Oreochromis niloticus: one gene and its partners. The main gene of each other region encodes a partner of the protein of the gene in region 3 in a complex. Links are inferred from orthologs where the notes say so. Each region holds a gene or a part of one and is shown on either strand. Other genes may lie near its edges.

Evidence for each region.
Region 1: ahi1 (region 3) and b9d2 share a complex: the UniProt entries of both Homo sapiens proteins name them as parts of the tectonic-like complex. The link is inferred for Oreochromis niloticus from reciprocal best matches to the Homo sapiens genes AHI1 and B9D2.
Region 2: ahi1 (region 3) and b9d1 share a complex: the UniProt entries of both Homo sapiens proteins name them as parts of the tectonic-like complex. The link is inferred for Oreochromis niloticus from reciprocal best matches to the Homo sapiens genes AHI1 and B9D1.

Annotation. Positions count from the first base shown.
Region 1 is NC_031970.2:19,646,311-19,652,119, reverse strand, and holds b9d2 (B9 domain-containing protein 2), read right to left. Parts: upstream 1,403-5,809; 5' UTR 1,189-1,402; coding exon 661-1,188; 3' UTR 508-660; downstream 1-507. Other genes in the region: poc1a (POC1 centriolar protein homolog A), read left to right, coding at 4,211-4,295, 4,392-4,563, 4,776-4,955. UniProt on the Homo sapiens protein: Component of the tectonic-like complex, a complex localized at the transition zone of primary cilia and acting as a barrier that prevents diffusion of transmembrane proteins between the cilia and plasma membranes.
Region 2 is NC_031969.2:13,172,049-13,179,374, reverse strand, and holds b9d1 (B9 domain-containing protein 1), read right to left. Parts: upstream 3,008-7,326; 5' UTR 2,863-3,007; coding exon 2,800-2,862; intron 2,644-2,799; coding exon 2,575-2,643; intron 2,422-2,574; coding exon 2,310-2,421; intron 1,630-2,309; coding exon 1,533-1,629; intron 1,350-1,532; coding exon 1,287-1,349; intron 774-1,286; coding exon 706-773; intron 437-705; coding exon 288-436; 3' UTR 4-287; downstream 1-3. UniProt on the Homo sapiens protein: Component of the tectonic-like complex, a complex localized at the transition zone of primary cilia and acting as a barrier that prevents diffusion of transmembrane proteins between the cilia and plasma membranes.
Region 3 is NC_031983.2:20,286,119-20,294,140, reverse strand, and holds the start of ahi1 (jouberin), read right to left. Parts: upstream 3,002-8,022; 5' UTR 2,829-3,001; exon of another isoform or gene 2,706-2,828; intron 2,528-2,705; 5' UTR 2,459-2,527; coding exon 2,449-2,458; intron 1,669-2,448; coding exon 1,550-1,668; intron 1,291-1,549; coding exon 710-1,290; intron 621-709; coding exon 532-620; intron 432-531; coding exon 245-431; intron 32-244; coding exon 1-31. Other genes in the region: vacuolar protein 8, read left to right, coding at 3,663-3,852, 4,076-4,195, 4,833-4,952, 5,107-5,226, 5,504-5,623. UniProt on the Homo sapiens protein: Involved in vesicle trafficking and required for ciliogenesis, formation of primary non-motile cilium, and recruitment of RAB8A to the basal body of primary cilium.

The DNA.
Region 1 (5,809 bases), on a different chromosome or scaffold from region 3:
CAATAGATATTCTGTGCAATACAGTCATGCACCATACACCACAGTATCTGGTAACTGAAGGAAAAAAAATATACTCTTTAAAAGTCTCTCCAGTTCTTTCCTTGTGAGGTTGTTGTTGTTAATATGAAGTAAGATAACTCATTTTATAATTTTCTTAAAAAGTAGTGACTGGTGCCAGACTAGCAGGGAACTCCTACATCTTTTGATAAACAATATTTGCTGCCAGTGAATGGCTCACACTTGGAACCAAAATGATACATTTCAGTATAGTATTTGCCCCTACTCCTAATCTGTAGCAGGCTATTAATGACTTAATCCAAGTAACAATCCTGTTAGTCGTACAACTTAAAATCCAAAATAAAAAGTAAATGTGGCTTTACATAATATAATATAACAATGCATTTAAGAAAGCAGCATTAAATGAGGCGTGGTTGCACGGAATATCGCTAATAAGAGCCAGTTTTATATTATTTTTATATTAAAAATACAAATCAGCAAGAAACCAACTTCAGTAAGAGAATATTTTCTTTATTTACATATAGTTTGTAAAAAATAGTGTAGTTAAGAAAAAAAAAATAGTACAGAATTCTACTAAAAGCAAGTGACTCAAATATGATCTATAAAAGTTTCTATTTTCTGTCTTTCTGCCATTTCAAAATCTCAACACTCGACACCATATTTGTCAAAGTGTCTCGTGATGATGCCCAGCTCCAGCTCCACAGTCCCCATGGCTTCGGTGTGCAGTCTGTATCTGTCCGCCCCGCTGTAGATCAGGTCAGGGCTGAGGAGCTGGGGACCTCCGCCGACGAACATTTGCGCCAGCCGTTCTTGCCAGGAGCCCACAGGCCTCCAGGTCGCACAGCTTATTCGGTGATGTCCCGGACTAGAAGGGACGTGGCAGAAACCATAACCATAGAGTTGGCACCGTCCGAAAGAATCCTGATGCCACACCTCTAGGTGAATCTTCGGCCAGCCTTGCAGCCCTTTGGTCGCGTAGTGCAGATCGATCGGGTGGCTCCAGTACGCTATGTCTCCGATTTGGGGGCTATCCACCTGGGTCTGACCCTCCTTCAGCCCGGATAAAAGCCGCCATGCTTCTCCCGTATGAATTCCCCATTTGCAAAACAAAGTCTTTTCCGGGAAACCACTTGCACCAATGATCTGCCCTATAATGTGCAGCTCTGCCATGTCACACTGGTTCTCTTTAACCAGAAAATGTGGCACGGAAAGTCCTGTTTTGTCTCTCCGATGTTAACGGCTAGCTTAGCGGCTAGCTAAACTAACGGCTAAACGTCTCCTTGGTAACCGCCTACCGTGATTTGCTATATAGCCATATACCCCCTGAGTTCGGCCTCGCAGGCACCACTTCCGGTACGAATCCCGTCCAACATTATGAAGACCCAAAGCTTCACCTTTATAAAGTTGTTTGTCATTAATGAATAATTAATTTTCACTAATTATAATATTGGCAATATTATTCCTGATCTATAATAAACGTGTGTGGTGAAAACGCGGTGGTGTCACGAATTTGGAACTACACCCTTACAGGTTGAACTCAGGGTTAAATTAGTCCTAGTACGAGTTGTTTCTGTTTTTCATGCATTGTTTATAAAAGCCCGTTCGTCGAAGACCTAAAACACCCCTTCATATTAATACTTTTTAATGAACTCGTGACGAAGAATTTACTTAATTGCTCGATTTCTCTGAAGTTTAATCGGTCTTTGGAGTCTGTGAACACTGTGAAACAGCGCCAGTACGCGGCTGTACTGCGCCCAGACTCCACAGTTAAACCAGTCTTACACTCCATGGTGGACTTTTTACAGTATATAAAAGGATTTATGTATACAGTATTTTACCTTATATTTTAAATGAGAGATAGAAATGATATTTTATGAAAAACCCAAGCTTGGGAGTAGCGTGAAATGTCACTGCGCATTTGTTAAAAGGAGGATTAAACTTTGGAATAGTTGTTTAGGCATAAAGTCAAAGTCAAAGTCAGTTTTATTTGTCAATTTCTTCAGATGTACTTGCCATACAAAGGAATTGAAATTACGTTTCACACTGCATAGACATAGACAACAATAAAGTGCAGATGCACAACATTTAGGTAACATACAGGATATAACAAGACAGGACCTAACATATAATAAAGTGTTCCACAGTGTGCCCTGGAAAGTAGTGTACTAGTCTACTTGAGGTAGTCCCAGGTTGTGGTTGGTAAGTGTTTTTGTTTTAATGCAGCATAAGACTGTAGCAGCAGTAATAGTAATATAAATAATATAAATAGTGCTAAAAAAAATACTAAAAATATATAGCAGCAGGTGTGTGCAATTGTAATGCAGAGGTAGTTGTTTCCAGTCAGGAATGTAGAGAGTGTTTCCTTGTTGTGGAGTGTGTGTGTGTGTGTGGGGGGGGGGTAGAGTCCAGTCTGTCTTCCTATAGTTCTGCCAATCTGGTGATTCTGCTGGCTGGGAGCCGGGAGGGGAGAGAGTTCAGCAGTCTCACAGCCTGGTGGATGAAGCTGTTGGTGAGCCTGGTAATGCGGGAGCGGAGACTTCTGTATCTTTTTCCGGAGGGCAGGAGGCTGAACAGACAGTGCGCGGGGTGGGTTGCATCGTTGACAATTGTGATGGCTTTGCGGGTAAGGCGGGTGGTGTAGATGTCTTGCAGGGAGGGGAGTGGTACACCAACTATCCTCTCAGCTGTTCTCACAATGCGTTGTAGAGCTTTCCTGTTATAGTCAGTGCATTAGTTTAATTAGTTTAATTAGTTTTAACTTTAGCCTAAACATATTCGGGTTGTCATATAAATGAACCAGATACAAAGAAATGAAATACATTTAAACCTGCTACTTTTAGATCACATTGTACTTCTAGGAACATTTAATTTCATTTATTTGAAAACGTTCTTAAGTGGTAATTTACCTTTACCACTTACAGGATGTAATTTAAGTTGCATTTCTGTACAAAATTGTTACATATAATTTTTGTTTTTATCTAGCTGACATACAAGTTAGTGTATTTCTCGCAAGGATCTTGCTGGCATTAGTGAAACTTTCTTTGAAATGGATTGAACATTGTTAGACTGAGATAGTGATTAAACTGTGAGAATGTAATCAAACTGTTTATCAAAGGGAAACTGTGATTTTTAAGACACTCAAGCCTAACACTGGCTGGTATATGTTAGGTTGTAACCAGCTGTTGTTGTTTGGTTGCCTCGTTATTAACTGCCTTGAAATGCTAATGATGACAATAAGTAACTGCAATGATATCTGGAATAAATAAGCATGTTTATGCACATTTTCACGTATTAGAGCGGTTGCTTCCGTTCAGAAGATGAGGGTTGAGGTGAGGAGGGCTAGTATGCCGTTTCAATGATCCCAAAACGCATCAGTTCGGTCACTGAATATGCTGAGCCTCAGAATGTGGTGTAACCCCGGTTTGCATGCTTTTGTGTACATATTTGTCAATAGCTGTTTCTTGTAAAATCTTGATGAAAACTTTCCCAGAAGAGCAGAGGCAGCCATGGTAACATATTATTGGCCATGGGTTTTGCAATGAGATGTATCACACACAGTGGGTGCTTTTCACAGTAAACATTTTGACTAGCAGCACAAGTGTTACTGCTAACATAAACACAGACTCGTTTCCATTCACGTGTCATACTAAGTCGTGACTGTGAACCTGTTCTAGGAGCCTAAAACCAAAACAGCGTATTTTTATTAATCTTTATTTATTTATGTATTTGGTGTGAAATGTCTGAAAAATCAAAAGCTGAAAGAGCATTAATTGAGTGAACCCATACTTTACTTTGGTGTCATAGAAGTGCCTTGTGTATTCTAAACCTTATGTGTGTAGTTGGGATGTTGTTAGCGATTTTATGGAGAGTTAGAAATTTACTCTGTGTTATTTTCCGACAGACTTAAGAGAGTGAAAAAGAATAACTGCGCAAAATCAGAGAACCTCATTATTTTAGCTACAAATCATAACTATGGGGTTCTTTGCTCATGTTTCCAGGCCAGTTTTAGTCACATCATACACCCACATAGTCGTGATGAGGAAGAAATAGCACTTCTTCAGTGATAATCTCTTAGTAAATAGTACCAAAGTTTCTGTTTCCCAAATGTCTTAACTTATTGCTTATTATTGTAGCTTTTGTAGTCATGATGACATTTTAACATTTTGACATGACTCTCTGTTTGCTCCCATAGTCTGATCCAACCCTAGAAAGACATTTCAAGGGTCACAGGGACACCGTAACAAGTGTGGACTTCAGCTGCAACATGAAACAAATCGGTAACAATCTGTTTGCCTGTTTGCTGTTGCCTTTGTCTTTTCCTTTTTGGAAATACATGATGTTCTCACTCACATCTGTGCTTCATCCTCTTCTAGCCACAGGCTCCGTGGATTCCCGTGTGATGATCTGGAACATGAAACCTCAGATGCGAGCGTATCGTTTTGACGGACACAAAGACGCCGTAATTTCCGTCCACTTTTCCCCATCGGGCCATCTGGTGGCCTCTGCCTCCAGAGACAAGACTGTACGTCTTTGGGTGCCAAGCATGTAGGTGTTAAAGTAAAATCTTTCTGTCTTTTCTGTTTTTTATTCCACCACCGGTTTACTACAGAGGACAATGATCGTGACTCATAAAGAGCAGCAACTACTGAATGTTGTTTGTCTCCTTCTGCCAGCATGGAGGAAGGCACACATTGCTGAACACCTTCTGGGTTTTGCTTGTTTGTTTTAAACTTAAGTAATGTCTTGTGTCCATACAGGAAGGCTGAGTCAACAGTATTCAGGGCTCACACTGCCACTGTGCGCAGTGTTAACTTTTCTGGTGATGGACAGACTCTGGTCACGGCCTCTGATGACAAGACAATTAAAGTGTGGACAACCCACAGGCAAAAGTTCCTCTTCTCTCTCAACCAGCACATCAACTGGGTCCGCTGTGCCAAGTATGAGACACACATTTAACACGATACAATACATCATATTAGGACATTTTGATAGATTTACACTTCAGGCATCACATTATGATCTTTGACAGATAAAGAGAATTACACTGATCATTTCCAAAATGCATCTTTTTCGGGCTGTTCCTGCTCAGTATCTAACAATAGTAGTCCAAAAAAAGGAAGTTCCAAGTTCCCCAGATCCCAATCCAATCCAGTATCTGGTGGATGTGCTGGACAAATAAATCCCATAAATGGCCTAACCTCGCATCTTACAAGAATGAAAGCATCTGTTGCTAACATATTGGTGCCAGATACCATAGCACACCTTCAAAGCTATGGTGGAGTCCATGGCTCAACAGGTCTGACCTGCTTTGGCAGCAAAAGGGGGACCAACACATTATTAAATCTGTTTTCAATTGTCTGATGACCTGCTAGCTTCATTGAATCGGTTGTGTGACTGCTTGAAAGAGGTCACAGAGTGGCTGTCAGCCAATTCTCTCATTTTAAATGATAAGAAAACTGAGATTATGGTGTTTGATAGTCACACTCCACGAGATCAGCTAGCTGCCCGATTTGGTCCTTTTGCTTGCTTTCTTACAGACACTGTAAGTAATCTAGGCGTTTTCCTGGATAGTTCGTTTAAGCTGGATAAACAGGTTTCCTCTGTGGTTAAATCTGGCTTCTTCCAATTGCACCAAATTTCTAAGGTCAAACGTTTAATACCGTACAAAGTTCTTGAAAAACTTTTCCATGCCTTTGTGACCTCCAGATTAGATTATTGTAACTCGCTCTACTCTGGACTCCAACTCACTCACATCCAACGATTACAGCTTGCTCAGAATGCTGCGGCTCGT
Region 2 (7,326 bases), on a different chromosome or scaffold from region 3:
ATCTGTGCTCAACATGTGGTTTATTTGTGTTAGAAAAGTTAAAAAAAAAAAAACATACAGTAACAGTGAAAAAATTCAAAAATGGTACAAAATGTATAACTGAAAGCACATTAGCATAATTCCATCTCTGCACAATATTTCCAGATACGCACATTGTTGCTGGTGTCTCAGTTGAACACGGGATTGTCACTGTGAGGGGAAAAAACGTCGCCTTCAGGGGCTCGTAACATGAGGAGACGTGTTATTTGGCCCAAATTTCCTTCAGTCTGTTAATGTTGCCACACGTTTTATGGTTGTTCCTCTGTTGACCAGCCAGATGTGGCGGAGGGCTTGTTTGCCGGGCCTGATGGTCCCGTGTCATAGTCCATCTTCTTCATGTCTTTAGTCATGATGAGAAAGGAGACTGAGACGAAGCCTTGCGAACGAACTCTAGTCACTGCAACATTAAATATAAGACAGAGTTTTTGTTTTAGTCCAGAGCCTGGAAAATACGCTGCAGAGTAATAAGTAACTTGTGTAATTTGATCTGCTGTGAATCTAAAGGCTCAGTCACTAGAATAAAAACTGCTATAGGAGAAACAACCATTTCAACAGCAACACGAAGTTAATCGCACTAGACTGGACTCCTTTCATTTTCCCTGGTGTGACTTTAGCACAACGTGGTAGTTTTGGGACAGTAAAGAAATGCAGACAAGAGCCACACACCTTCTCTGCCCTCACCCTGGGCCACCACTTTAGGATCTGTGTATTCAGGCCGCCGCCCCGTCAACCACCTGAACAGAGGAGAGGAAAAAAAAAAATTGTCGTACACAGAAAGGTTCACAAACTGGCTTAAGAATATGCATTTAGCTTGAGATGTACATCGTTTTCTCAGTCTACTCTGGAGGGCTTTTTAAGGCAATTTAACCTTAACTTGATACTTTGATACAAGTGGCTAAAACAAGAGGAAGAAAAGCCCTTAAAAAGTGTGCTGCTGCTGTTTTATTTCAGTTACACTGTCAGGACAACAAATGGCATAACTTTGGCATGCCACCAAAGTTACACAACCTTAGGTTGTCAGGAGATAACGTGGGAATACCTTTGTGTTTTTCCGCATACTGATCACAGAAGCAGGAAAACAATGTTAATTATTCTCACCACACAGGTAATAAGAGCCTATCTTTAGCTCAGGTCTTGCGCAGATAGACATGGTGGAACATTAACTTTTTTGTACTGCTCTGAGATCATAAGCCACCCGAGCCACTGGCAGAGAGACGAGAAGACTGCACACTGAGCACACATCTCACCCTGTGAACTTCTGAAGTCTCCATGTGGGCTCAGGAACAAACATGGGAATGGTTTTCGTATGCCTGAAGAATAAAAATAAGGTTATTTTCTGTTTCACGCTCTTCCTGCTGAAAGAAGCAAGTGGTGTCTACATTCTGACATAGCTCAAAGGTGAGCACAAGTTATTTGAAAATGGTACTTGTGTAGGGCAACCCCCCCCCCCCAAAAAAAACCCCTAAGGATAAGTAAATGAAAGCAGTACTGACTGTCCTGGTGTGAAGGGGATGTGTGTTGCTCCATAGCCTCTGACTACATCGTTGCCAAAAACATCTGGACCATAAACACTCACCACGAGCTGAGGCCCTGGAAAATGAACCCATTAATTAATACATAAATTCTCTGTCTACAATAAGTTTTAGATATTACTTCTACTTCTATTTTCAGCTGCTCCCTTTAGGGGTCACCAGAGCAGATCATCTGCCTCAATCTCACCTATCTAACATCTTCCTCTGTGGTCTTCCTATTTTCCTCCTGCCTAACAGCTCCATATTCAGCATCCTTTGTCCAGCATTTCCACCTTCCCTCCCTCCATGTCTAACTGTCTCCAAACTGCTCAACCTGAGTGGTCCCGCTGATATATTAATTTCCAGTCCCATCCATCCTGGTCACTCCCAGACTCCAAACCATGCATCATAACAGATCTCACCACCATCCTTTAAACCTTCCCTTTCACTCATGCTGCTATCCTTCTATCACAAATCGCCCCTGACACTCATCTCCACCCACTCCACCCAGCCTGCACTCTTTTTCACCTCTCTTGTACACTTTGGACGGTTGATTCTCACATACTTGGTTGGCTGTCTGTCCGTACTACAGTTCATCTCTTGTCACTCTATCATATACTTTCTCTTGATCTGCAAAGACACACTGCAACTAATTTGCCATTCTCTATACTTCTTCTAAAGGATCTAATATTTTTGTCAACAGAAGGCAACTGTTCCTAATTAACCACGTGTTTTTGAGTGTGTTTGTGTAATGCTCACATCCAGATGGATTTGTGCTCTTAAATGTTGTTGCCAGTGGGAAGTTCCATATCAACCTGTGCGATGCTTGACTGCTTTTACTGGCGATTTGTGTGATGCCTTCCTCCAACCCCTATAGAAGGAAAACAAACAAACACACGAACTTTCAGTAGGGGCTGTACTTTAACCATTTGTTATTTAGTAAAGACTTTATGACCCCTTTTCAGGCTAATTGTGGCTTTACTAAACACAACACTGTAATTTTATATTGCATCACGCTACTCACCGTGGTGGGAGCCCAGTCGTGGCCGTAGACAAAACAATATTTGCAGTACAAGTTGTCATACTCTGGAAACTGAAATACAACACAGATATCAGCTTAACACCTGTACACAAGGGTAAACGAACCGAGAAATGAGACGAATCCATGGCACAAGCTATCTCAGGGGGTGCTAATGCTAGCTGAACAATCAGCTGCAAGGCTAGGCTAAAACACAGAAAGCCCACGCACGTTCGCTCCCTCAATATGTCCGTTCACCGTGAGAAGAAACACGGATGGGTTGCTTGCAGCCATTACGGCTTTAGTTAGTAAACCAGAAGCTGAATGCGTTTCTATTTCATGACAGATTCAACCCGCTGCAGAAGAATCCTGCTGCTGATCATTCCGTTGCTAGGGCGACGCTTTTCCTCCTCTCTACGGAAACCTGCTACATCCAAACTGAACGGTCGCGTAAACGCGGTGAGGAAATGTTCACACTGTCCACAAGATGACGCCACTGTACCAAACACCAATAAAGAAGCAAACTCAAACACTGAGTAACAGGAGAGCATCCTGCAGCTTTATATAAACAGTGAACACTATCAGGCTGAGGAGACGGTAATGCGCGCGGTCACATAGTGTACTAAGTGGGGCCACGAGTCACAACATATGATCAGGAAGCAGAGGAAGTGTGGAATGGAGGAGCACAGCATTACCACATTAGTGTCCAGTGGCTTCGATTTATGGGTAGGATTTATTACCATGTCCATTCTTGGGAACAGAAGATGGCAGAACTTAATATGTTGGTTGTCAGCCATTGTTTAAAAACAGTGAGGAAGAGGAGAAGCCTTCCAGCACATAGGGGAAGTAGAACAAAACTGGTTTTGATGTAAAAACTTTCTGGATCTGCACTATTTTTTTTCTTCTACTGTTTAAAATTTACACGACAGTGAATTTGAACTTACATCAATTTAAACTTACAAACTTACTTGTTTTTAATTTAAATGAATTTTATAGATAATTTTGAACAATCATGTAGGTGCTATTAGATCTAATATAAGATTGTAACGCTGATGTCGGGGTTAATTTCAACATTTAGGACTGCAGGCCCCTTGTTTCTCTGTGTTGATGACTGACTTTACTGTTAAAAATCACATATTGCAATAATTCTACATTTAAAATGACTTCCTAAAATAAAAATACATCTTTTTGTATAAAATAGTGCTTACATGTTGACAGAAGGTGTCAATTTGAAGGCATAATAGCAAATCTTGCATTATTCTCTTAAAAGCTCTTATGTCATATGGTAATATCTTAAAAAAATCAGTCAGTATCTGTTGTCTATATTTTTTTTAATTTATTTTTTATTGAACTTTTAATTGCAAAGCAGGAAAACAACAGTCACCAACATATACATATATACATACACAGGACAGAGATGTACCTACATCTATGGTGGTCGTGGGAGTCAAGAAAAAAAAAAGAAAAAACAATAGCAATAGTAATAAACAATGAAAAAGGCTAACAATCGTCCCTTTGTTGCCAGGCTAAATCCCGTAAGCCCGATTTCAACCTCTGAGCAGAAGGAGTGTCCAGATGGGCCAAAAAAGGGCTCCCATGTCCGGTAGAAAAGGAAAGGTTTGTCTTAAAAACTGTTTTAAATTGTAAATTATACTCAGTTCATAGGATTATATTATAGTTACCTCTAGAATAGTTAGGCTTTCTGGGAAAATGCCTTGAATCCACAGACTAACATACCTCCAAGAGCTAAACCTTCCTAAGTACCTTTTTAGATTTGAGATATAGTGTTATTTTTAATGTATTGCTTCAGTTTTAAAGTCTTGTCATCATAAGTGAGAATATATAAATTGTACTATTATTGCACATATGCAGTGCTCAATAAATGTATTAGACTATATGTCATAAAAAGAAGAAAACAGAAATGGTTTAGAAATCTGTCAAAAACTTGTTGCAAAATAAAAATTGCATTATTATTTATTAGGTAATTAACAGACTGAATTCACATTTTTCCACCCAAATGTGAGACACACCGGACTTCTCTGAGGTGTCAGAATTGATGAATAAATCGAGCATAAGATTCAAGCACTAAAACCGATTTTTCTGTTCAGAAATGCAAGTAAATAACTGTAATTTGGTGCCTTAATTAAAAAAACATTAACATGCTTTATTATTTTTTCAGCTTTTTTATAGAACAGTTCATTTAGAAGTTCATGGATACAAGAATAATTATATTTTTACATTAAAATTATTTATTCATTTTTATTAAAGAGCCTGCTCAGACTGGTGAATTAACCATTGCAGAAACAGAAGAAATTAGTTTGGTAATTCAGGACAGCATGAAACTTACACTGGGTGGTATTCTAATAATTTATGGAGCACTTTATATGTTCCTTTTCTTAAAAATGACTAGTGTGCTTGAAGTAATCTGTGAGTTATGAGGGAAAATGTTTTCTGTCTAAGGATATTTGAAAGGGTGCATTTTCACAAAAATTATGATATTTTCCTAAATCTAACCACATAATTTAATTGCCTCAACAGCACCAGAAAAGTGAAAATTATATAGAAATACTAAACTACATGGCAGAAAGCTTTTCTGGAAGAAAACCCTGAAAGCAAACCACGTACGATCAAACTACATCGAGGACCTAGTTGTTGCATGGCTGGGAGCTTTAAATGAAACCCAACGAGTCCCATTTCCAAATGTCAGGTCTGCCCTTCCATTAATCAAAGTGCATGACAACAACAAGCATACACTGTATAAACAGCGTATATGTGACGAACACATTGGTAACCCTAAGTGCATGAACACCGTGTTCTTTGTCAAGCAAATGGCACTCTTGTTTCTGCAAACAAAGATGGAAATGCGCAATTGTGGTTTGCCTACCATTTAAATGCATTATATGGCAAACACACATAAACAGAGTGCAGTGTTTCCACTATATCCGACTGCGTAATGTCCAAATATGAGACGAATATAAGAGGTAAGTAGTATTTAGTTAAATTAAGTGGAAATGTGCTCAGCACTTTACCAAATTAACATTAAACTGTACAACATTATGGTAACAGCTGGATTTGTAATGCAGTTCCACTGAGTTTATTCAGATGCTACTACTATTAATTGGAAAACATCATCCACTATATTTTCTCTGTTTGCAACATGCTGCCACATTTTCAGTCGGGAGGATGTGAAGTCATGTTCACGTTAAGAAGAAGGTACAACGTTTTGCTTAAGACATAATACAACTCTGGGCCTTTAAAGATCTTAAAATGAGATAAATACAACCTCAGATGAATTAAAAACAGGACAGAAACCAGCATGTTACTGCTTATTTAACAAATATTCCATATGAATCAAGTAGTTAAGTAGCAGCCAATCAAATGCACTTGATTAACTCATTATCAGTAAGTGTGATGTGATGATTTGATCTTGTTTTGCACTGCAGAACCTGGGCACTTGGCAGTCATTGTGTCCACCATGAAAAAATGTTTTCTCGGGTTAAATGTGAGACCATCTGTCTGGCGGCTAAAGCTTGGCTCAAATTGGGTCATGAAACAGGACAATGATCCCAAACACAGCAGCAAATCTAGTGCAGAATGGCTGAAAAAGAAAGGAATCGAGGAGCTGCAATGGTCCAGTCAAACCGATTGAAATGCTATGGACTTTCAGAGAGCTGTGCATGAGTGAATTCCCGCAAACCTCAATGAATGAATGTAAGGAAGAGTACAAGAAACCGATTACTTTAAGTTATTGCTGCTAAAAGTGGTTCTACAAGCTACTAAATCAATCAATAAAAAATCAGCAAAGATGTTGTTTGGGCCAGCCGTGGCCCAGTTGCTACAACACACCTGGCATCTGCCCCTAATATGGTCGGGTTAGCTGAGTTGTGGCAGTCAAGTCTGGGCCATACAGTCATTGCTATCTGTGGTAACCTACAATGATTGATGGGAACTACAACTTTTAGGGGCAACAGAAACCAAAAGAGCAAAAGACACACCAACAGAATATTCATATTCACCTGAACAAAGAATATACCTCACTTCAAGAATATACCTGATGGATAGAAGTTTGTAAAGGTTAAGTTAAGATACAATATTACTGTCTAGCTGAAGTCCCATCTCAATGTGGAGCTAATTGCTGTAAAAACATAACTGGTAATATAGGCCAACTGGGCTAAATATGGATGAAACTGTTTCACGATGAACCACACTGTAACTGCGCATTTCTTTTAAACTAACAGCTAAAACTGCATCAAACACAGCCCCCCAGGTGCAGCTGCACCTTGTAATCTGGGCTTGCCCACCAACCCTTACCAAATTAGAACATGGCAAGTGTTTTAAGTGGACTAAGTCTGCAGTGTGAAAATTTTTTGCCGAACATGCATAAAGAAAACTGCTGCAAAAGGGAGTAACGCTTCAAATCCACCAGAGACTACTTTGTAGCAAATCTAAGGTAAGTTTGATTTATAGTTTTTCTCCTGCTCTGTTGTTTCTCTGTAGCCTCGATGCACTCTTTGCACTCTTTCCACGTTGCAATATCTTCTTTAGTTTAGCCACTCAACCGGTTTTGTTCATCGAAAATCCAGCAGTTCTCAAACTGCTTTTGAAAATGTTCAAAAGGAAGAAACACTGTAGTCCATCCCATAGATGGAAACGCATACAGAAGATCAACCGATTGCGTGTTTGAAAATGGAAAACTAGGCATTGAGCAGCGAAACCCTGTAATATTAGTGGTCCTGTGTCCTCATCCACAGTGACACA
Region 3 (8,022 bases):
CTGCTCATAAAATGAGGATACGGGGCGATGACTACAAAAAAGAAAAACAAAATGTGAACTGAAGGCAAAATGTGTTATAATTCCAAGGTTTTGGCACTGTTAAGTGGCTTATAAATAAAAATAACTATGGTCCAAATAAAAACAAATAACTATGGTCCAATTATTTTAAGGTAAAAATATCTAAATAAAAAATGTGCCCAGAAATTGAAACACAACATTAAACTTAATCGCAGAAATGTCTCACCAGTCTTCTTTCTTCACATATTGCCCTGTGGCTTCATCAACGACGTGGATCTTCACCATGGGGTGTGAAATCATCAAGTCGGTCTTGAGGCGGTCTGTTCTGTGAATGTACACTCCAAGAACAAGGTTGTCATCAAAAACTGGTTTCTGAGGTGCTTCTGACTCCGCTTCACTCTGTTCTTTGACAACTACAAGGGGAGAAAACAAAATATGAAATGGATTACCATCAACACCTTTATACACCTTTAACTGGAATTTGATGAATCCTGAGAATTATCGTGCAATCACCATGTTTTTTCTTCTTCTTTTTCTTCTTTCCCTTGGATTCTGTTTCATTTTCCACTTCAGCATCCAGGTCTGTATCTTCATCTTGATCCCTGGAGGCAAAAAAAGAAGTAGAAAGAAATCAAACACTGTTGCCTTATCACTAATTATAACTCCATAGTACACTAATAGTTATACACACCCTGGATCTGAATCTGTGACTACAGATTTCATCTTTTTCTTTTTCTTCTTCCCCACATCATTGCTAAGCGTAACACTTTGCGAGACAGCACTCTCATCTTCTCCTTTGACCCTTGTCCTCCTTGAAGTCCTCTGCTCCTCCTTTACTATCTTTTGCTGGTATTCATGCAATAGGTTATCTTCTGTGTCCTCCACCTGGCTTGCTTCTTTAGCCTCTGTATCTCCTTTGCTTTTTCCCTTTTTATTTTTCTGCTTTGGGGCCTTTCCACCTACAGAATCATCTGGATCCAATGGAATTTCAGGTCTTGATGCATTTGCATCTTCTTGGATGTGACTTCTGATGTCCTCGGGCGTAGGAGGAGAGGGAAGGTCCCTCTTACTTTTTCTTTTAGATTTTGATGTTTTAATCTCCTCTTGGTTTCTATTGTTGTTAAAATTAACCTTCTCTGAAATTTCTCTCTCCCTTCTTTTATTCTTTGTGTAGCGAGGGCTGCCCTCTTCTGGGTCATATGTGTTCTGGAGGATGGTCTCATTGTCTTCTGTGTCCTTCTCAAGGTTGAGATTTTTTTTTAGATTCTGAAGCTAAAGAGGAAAAGGGAAGGAGGTGTCAGTACTTACAATCTTTTTATTTTGTTATTTATTAAACTTCCGCAATTAAAATATGTCCGACATGTTGTATGTTTTGGAAGAGGGGCATCATGACAGCCTTGTTCACATAAAATGCAGAATCCACAAGGATTCTGGACTATTCAGAAATAGTTTTAAGACATGTCCTGCAAGTTCTATATGTTTTTGCCAACATCTGATGTAAAATTATCAATAGAACACAAGAAACACATACCACAATAGTCTCCGGTGTTTCAGTGCTTTTCTTTTTCAACGTTTTCTTCTCAGATTCTGTGTACTTCTTGAAGACTTCATTAAATCTTTCCCGGGTTTTTGCCCGGTCTTCACTCTCACCTATAAAAGGGAACATTTTATATAGATTACATGACAATGCAGATTAGACTTTATAACATAAATAAGATTAACTACACGTTGTTGATAACACTTCTGTAGATTGATAAAAAAATTTTGCAAAACTTGTAACTGCATTTTTACACTACTGCATCACACTAAGTAAGAGAAGTAAGAGTAGCAATGCAACAGACAGGGGACAAGTGAGGTGAAGAAGAGAGTGCAGGCATGGTGGAGTGGGTGGAGATAAATATGAGAGGAAAGAAGGACACCCTGTCACCAACGTGACAGGGAAGGTTTGCAACATTTTAGTGAGACCTAATATGATGTATGGTTTGGAGATGGTGGCACCAAGAAAAAGACAGGAATCTGAGCTGGAGCTGGTGATGGAGTTGAAGATGTTAACAATGTTAAGGGAGTGACCAGAATGGACAGGATTAAAAATGAGTACATCATAGGGACAGCTCCGGTTTAAGAGTTTGGAAACGCTACCGAAGTTAACGAAACAAGACCGAGGGGGTTTGGGCATGTCCAGAGGAGGGGATAGCGGATAGATTAGACATATGTTAAATATAAAGTTACCAAACACGAGGAAAAGAGAAAGACTACAGAAAAGATCCGGGAATGTAGTGAAGGAGGAAATGCAGAGGGATAAGGAGAGATGCAGGCAGATGATGTACTGTGGCGACCCCAAATGGGAGCAGCCGATAAAAAACGGCATTGCTACTTTAATTTAAAGAACCTTCCACCATTGGAGTGAGGAGGGAACAGCAGGAAACTTACCTGCTGGCATTCTTAGACAGCGTGATGTTTCTCTTTCCGAGCGCAAAATGAGAATAATCCAAAACTGAAGACTCTCATTCTAAAAATACAGGATAACGACGTTAAAGTTGCACAACAAAATCTCTACTGGGTTAGCTATGTTTTGCTAGCCAAGCGTTTAGCACTCTAGTAAAACAAAACCGTATTAAGTCTCCCATGGTGTTTAATTTGCTGAAATCAGAGTATAGGAAAAAGTACAGTTTGTGTGAACCACTAACCTTAGCCACTTTAGCAGCTAGCTTGCTAAATGCTTCTGATAGCTCACTGACTTTGTAGGGTTACTACATTTGGTAAGATAATATTTAGGAGCTTTAACGAACAGTCTGAGTATTAAAACAAACCTCGCTCCACAGTAGCAGTCCGTAAAAGTATGTATAAGAAGCAGAAGAGTTGGCCGAGGGTTAGCGCATGTATCTACTCTGCAGTGATTGTGCTGTCCTCCATCTTTAACAACAACGCTTCGACGGTTTCCAAGTCAACAAAGCTGAAAAAGAAAGGCGGAGCCGGTGAAACGTAATCTGACGTACATACAAAAACAACAAATTAACCAATCAAAGCTGAGGACAGAATTTCATAACAGAGATATATTTACATGTTTTTTCTGTTATGATTAGCTTCACTTTCTTCTTATTTTATGTCTACCTCTAAAAGCCTGATGTTTATCATAATCTTAAATATAGAAAAATCTGTTATTGCATTAATACAATGGCCAGAGAAGAAGTATCCTATTAATTTATTCAAGTAATGTAATGTTTTTACCCGTGTTGCACTTTTTTGTAAGCTGATATACACTTTACACAGTTCACATAGAATATCATACAGTTCTACATCACAGTCACAAAGGCTTGCACACAAAGAAAGAATACAATAAATTTGTAGCCTAGAACAAAAGAAACGCAAACGAAAATACTACCAACCCAATATGAAGGCTACAGAATTCCACAAACTTGCACAGCCGTGAAACGCCTAAAATATTTAAATATTAATTTTTATTAAGTGTCACGATAAGTTTTACTTTTAAAGTTGTGTAGAGATGCAAAAACCTTAAAGCTAGAAGAGCAAGATACTTTCGAGAGTCTAAATTTACCTTGCAGTCACGTGACACAGCAGTAGGCGTGTCTACGTGCAGGTTGTGTAAAATAGACAGGTGTCAGGACCTTGTACAAGATGCAGTCATGGCTTCAGGGTTTTGTGACACCTGCTCGCGGTTGTTGAAGGAATTTGCGGATCATTTGAGGAGCGCTTGGAGAGAGCTGGAGCTCAAGATAAAGGAAGCTTTCAGAGAGATTGGACGGTGCAACTGCTTTAGGATTTCATCCGAGAGAAGGAAGGCTTTTGATTTGCCTTCCTTACGCCTCAACTGTGGTAGGAAAATTGCAGCCATGCATATTTTTTTTTTATGGAAATCGCTGTAGAGGAACAAAAAGCGAGGCAGAGGGCCTCTGTGTTATTTAGAAAAATGAAAAGCATCAAAGTAAACGTTTAGACAACAACTTCTTTAAACTTTCATACTGCATGTGCTATTACTCTTCAAAGATGTACACAAGTTTATATGATCAATTCAATTAATCTCTTTCCCCCCTCCCAGACAACGAAACTCAACTTCTCAGCCAGGAAAGTCTGCAAACACTGAACAAACTTGCAACCTCAGAAAACACTGATCTACAAATGACTTCAGCCATGTATTATCTACACCTCAGTCATCATCGTGAGTAAAGATTTCACGTTTTTGTTTCATCTGACAGTATTCCTGATAGCAGTAACTTCCAGATGATCAGCTGTTGTTTGCACTTCAGGTTTCATCATAGGCCTCTATCAGTTACTGCAGAGATATTTTCTCTAACGGGTGTGACCAGTATGCAAATTTCCAACTGTATTTTTTTTTCCCCCAAGGCTGGCAGATAAAACGCCCACTTATGGACCCATGTGTTACAAAGAAGGAAGAATAAGAGGATTTTACTGTGAAATTCACAGTATGCTTTATTATAATCTGCCAACCAAGAGCCCAATGGTGCATATTAGCTGAGGCTTCTTCTTTCAGTACAGCATAGACAGTTTTCTGTAGTATATAAATGGGTGACCAGGTGTTTTGTGTATTGGTGGCAGTTGACAGATTGCTGTGTTTAGATGCTTGAGGTTATAGCACAACTTATGAGGGATATATCTTTTGAATTTATAATCAGCTACAAGTATGTAATTCAAATTTGTAACATTTAACTTCTGCAAGTAAGACTGACATACAACTACTATAAAATGGTCTCAACTCGAACATTGTTCATTCTGACAGCAAAAAATGTGACTTAAGTTTCAAAGTGTGTTACTTTTGCCTTCTTTGTGTGTTACAGTGAACTGTCCATTACCAGATGCCTTCATGGAGCCCATCATGGCTCTACTTTTATCATCTGATCTTGATGTTCAAAAGACTGTCTCTCTCGCCCTTGTAAATCTGTTAGTAAAGAATAATGGTAAGAGATAATAATAGTAAGATATTTACATTATTATAATTTTTTTTAATTAATCCAGAATTTTAGTGATTTTGATAGTATGATTCTAAAAGCTCGTGGTCTTTTGGAACAAATGGCTTATTTATGATTTGCCATCCATAAAATTTGATTTCAGTGTGTAAAGAATTGGTGATAGAAATGGGGATGCTGGTGCCCATAATTGAGTTGTTCCGGTCAGGTGATCCCACTGCTCAGTGTCACTCCTGTGCCTGTGTTGCCATGTTGGCCTCCTCAGGTTTGTACAGACCTTCATTTTTAAAGTATTTTTCGACACGGTTTAGAAAGTACAAACACTTAATTTTAAAAACTTATTATGTATTGCAAAATAAATGGCAGGACTTTGAGAATGGCTAGAGAACTGAAGACTTATGAGAAAAGTAGTTATTTTGTTCCATGTGCTTCTTGAAATGACCTCTCCTCTGTCTTGCTGAAATTCTGCTAATTTGTTTTGGGCCACTAGCACTCCAAAATTGTCCCTGCGTGCATAGTTGCTATTTCATCTTTCTTTCCAGAGTCAAATCGAGATTCTTTGATGGTCGATGGAATCATACCACTCTTGGCTTTAGCAAAATCTTTTGATCCAAAGGTCCAACGGAATGCAACTTGGGCTCTATTACACCTCACGCAGTCAGGTGGGACCATTTCATTTGAATGTCACTGTGCACTTACAGTTGTGGTTAGAAGTTTAGATACACTCATCATTGGTATCAATGCCATGGTAATTTAGGGATTACTTTGAACTGTTCTTTTTCTAGGAATGATTGTGCAGTAAACATATTTATTGAGTTTTAAAAAAACAAAACAAAACAAGAAGTCTGTGCACAGTTTTGAATTTATTTTGGATTTTGTCTAATCGACCCAGGGTCAAAAGTATAGATGCAGGCTCAGATATACACACATCCTTACATTAGTGGGGCTACTAATGTTTTGTTAAATTCCCTTTAGTAAGTTGCACCTCAACCAGATGTTTTTAGTAACCATAAACAAGCTTCTGCAATAATTCTAGATGAATATTTTACCAATTCTGCCAAGAGAGGTAGTTGAGTTTTTATTTGTTTGTTTGTTTTTGTTTTTAAATAGGGTTGAGGTTTGGGAATCCCACTCCAGAACCTTAATCTTAGCCTGCTTTATCCATTCCAAAAACCAGTTTTGATGTGTCTTTGAGATCATTGTCCCTTTGGAAGACCCAACTGACTCAAAGTTTCAATCATCTAGTTGTTAATTTTAGGTGAATTTGAAGGTATTCCTCCCTTCTTTAGTATTCCACCAACTTTGTGCAATGTACCAGTACCACTGGAAGCAAAACAGCCCCAGAGTATGATGATACCACCACCATGCTTGACAGTTCAGTTGATAGCCTCACCTTTATTGCTCTAAGCACACCTCTTGTCTTTGTGGTATTCTCTTTCTTGGTCAGCACCCTCTCAGCCCAACTGGTGTAAAACTTCATGTGAACAGTGATGCTGATGTTCCTACGGTTTTCAGACAGTCTTGAGCCTTGGTGGTTCCTGGGTTGCTGAATAAACATCCTAACCAATTTTTTCTCCTCTGAGGGTGATGGTTTAGGTCTTCTTTTTTTTTTTTCAGAGATGGGCAAAGTGGTGACAAATCCTAATAACTTGTACTTATGTACAGTTGTTTAAAGTAATGCTCTTTAAACCTGCAGTTGTTTAGAAGTGGTTCCAAGAGACCTTCCTAACTTGTGTAACAGTTCTTATTGTTTGTTCTTCACTGAGTTCCCTGGAGTTTCCATTGTTCTGAGTATTGGTCAATCCAACATGTGCTCTCAAACAAATGCTCCTTATGCAGGCATAAAGAAGAATTGTAGTCAATCATGATCACTAACAAGGAGTTAATTTGCCGTGGTGTTAGGCCTAGAAGCTTGTTCAATTCAATTCAATTTTATTTATATAGCGCCAAATCGCAACAGAAGTCGCCTCAAGGCGCTTTATATTGTACAGTAGATCGCACAATAATACATACAGAGAAAAACCCAACAATCATATGACCCCCTATGAGCAAGCACTTTGGCGACAGTGGGAAGGAAAAACTCCCTTTTAACAGGAAGAAACCTCCGGCAGAACCAGGCTCAGGGAGGGGCGGCCATCTGCTGCGACCGGTTGGGGTGAGAGAAGGAAAATAGGATAAAGACATGCTGTGGAAGAGAGACAGAGATTAATAACAGATATGATTCAATGCAGAGAGGTCTATTAACACATAGTGAGTGAGAAAGGTGACTGGAAAGGGAAAACTCAATGCATCATGGGAATCCCCGGCAGCCTACGTCTATTGCAGCATAACTAAGGGAGGATTCAGGGTCACCTGGTCCAGCCCTAACTATATGCTTTAGCAAAAAGGAAAGTTTTAAGCCTAATCTTGAAAGTAGAGATAGTGTCTGTCTCCCGAATCCAAACTGGAAGCTGGTTCCACAGAAGAGGGGCCTGAAAACTGAAGGCTCTGCCTCCCATTCTACTTTTAAATACTCTAGGAACAACAAGTAAGCCTGCACTGCAAGAGCAAAGTGCTCTAATAGGGTGATATGGTACTACAAGGTCATTAAGATAAGATGGGGCCTGATTATTTAAGACCTTGTATGTGAGGAGCAGGATTTTGAATTCAATTCTGGATTTAACAGGAAGCCAATGAAGGGAAGCCAAAACAGGAGAAATCTGCTCTCTCTTTCTAGTCCCTGTCAGTACTCTTGCTGCAGCATTTTGGATTAGCTGAAGACTTTTCAGGCAGTTTTTAGGACATCCTGATAATAATGAATTACAGTAGTCCAGCCTGGAAGTAATGAATGCATGAACTAGTTTTTCAGCATCAATCTGAGACAGGATATTTCTAATTTTAGAGATGTTGTGCAAATGGAAGAAAGCAGGCTTACATATTTGTTTAATATGTTCGTTGAAGGATATATCCTGGTCAAAAATGACTCCAAGGTTCCTCACAGCATTACTGGAGGCCAAGGTAATGCCATCCAGAGTAAGAATCTGCTTAGATACCATATTTCTAAGATTTTCAGGGCCGAGTA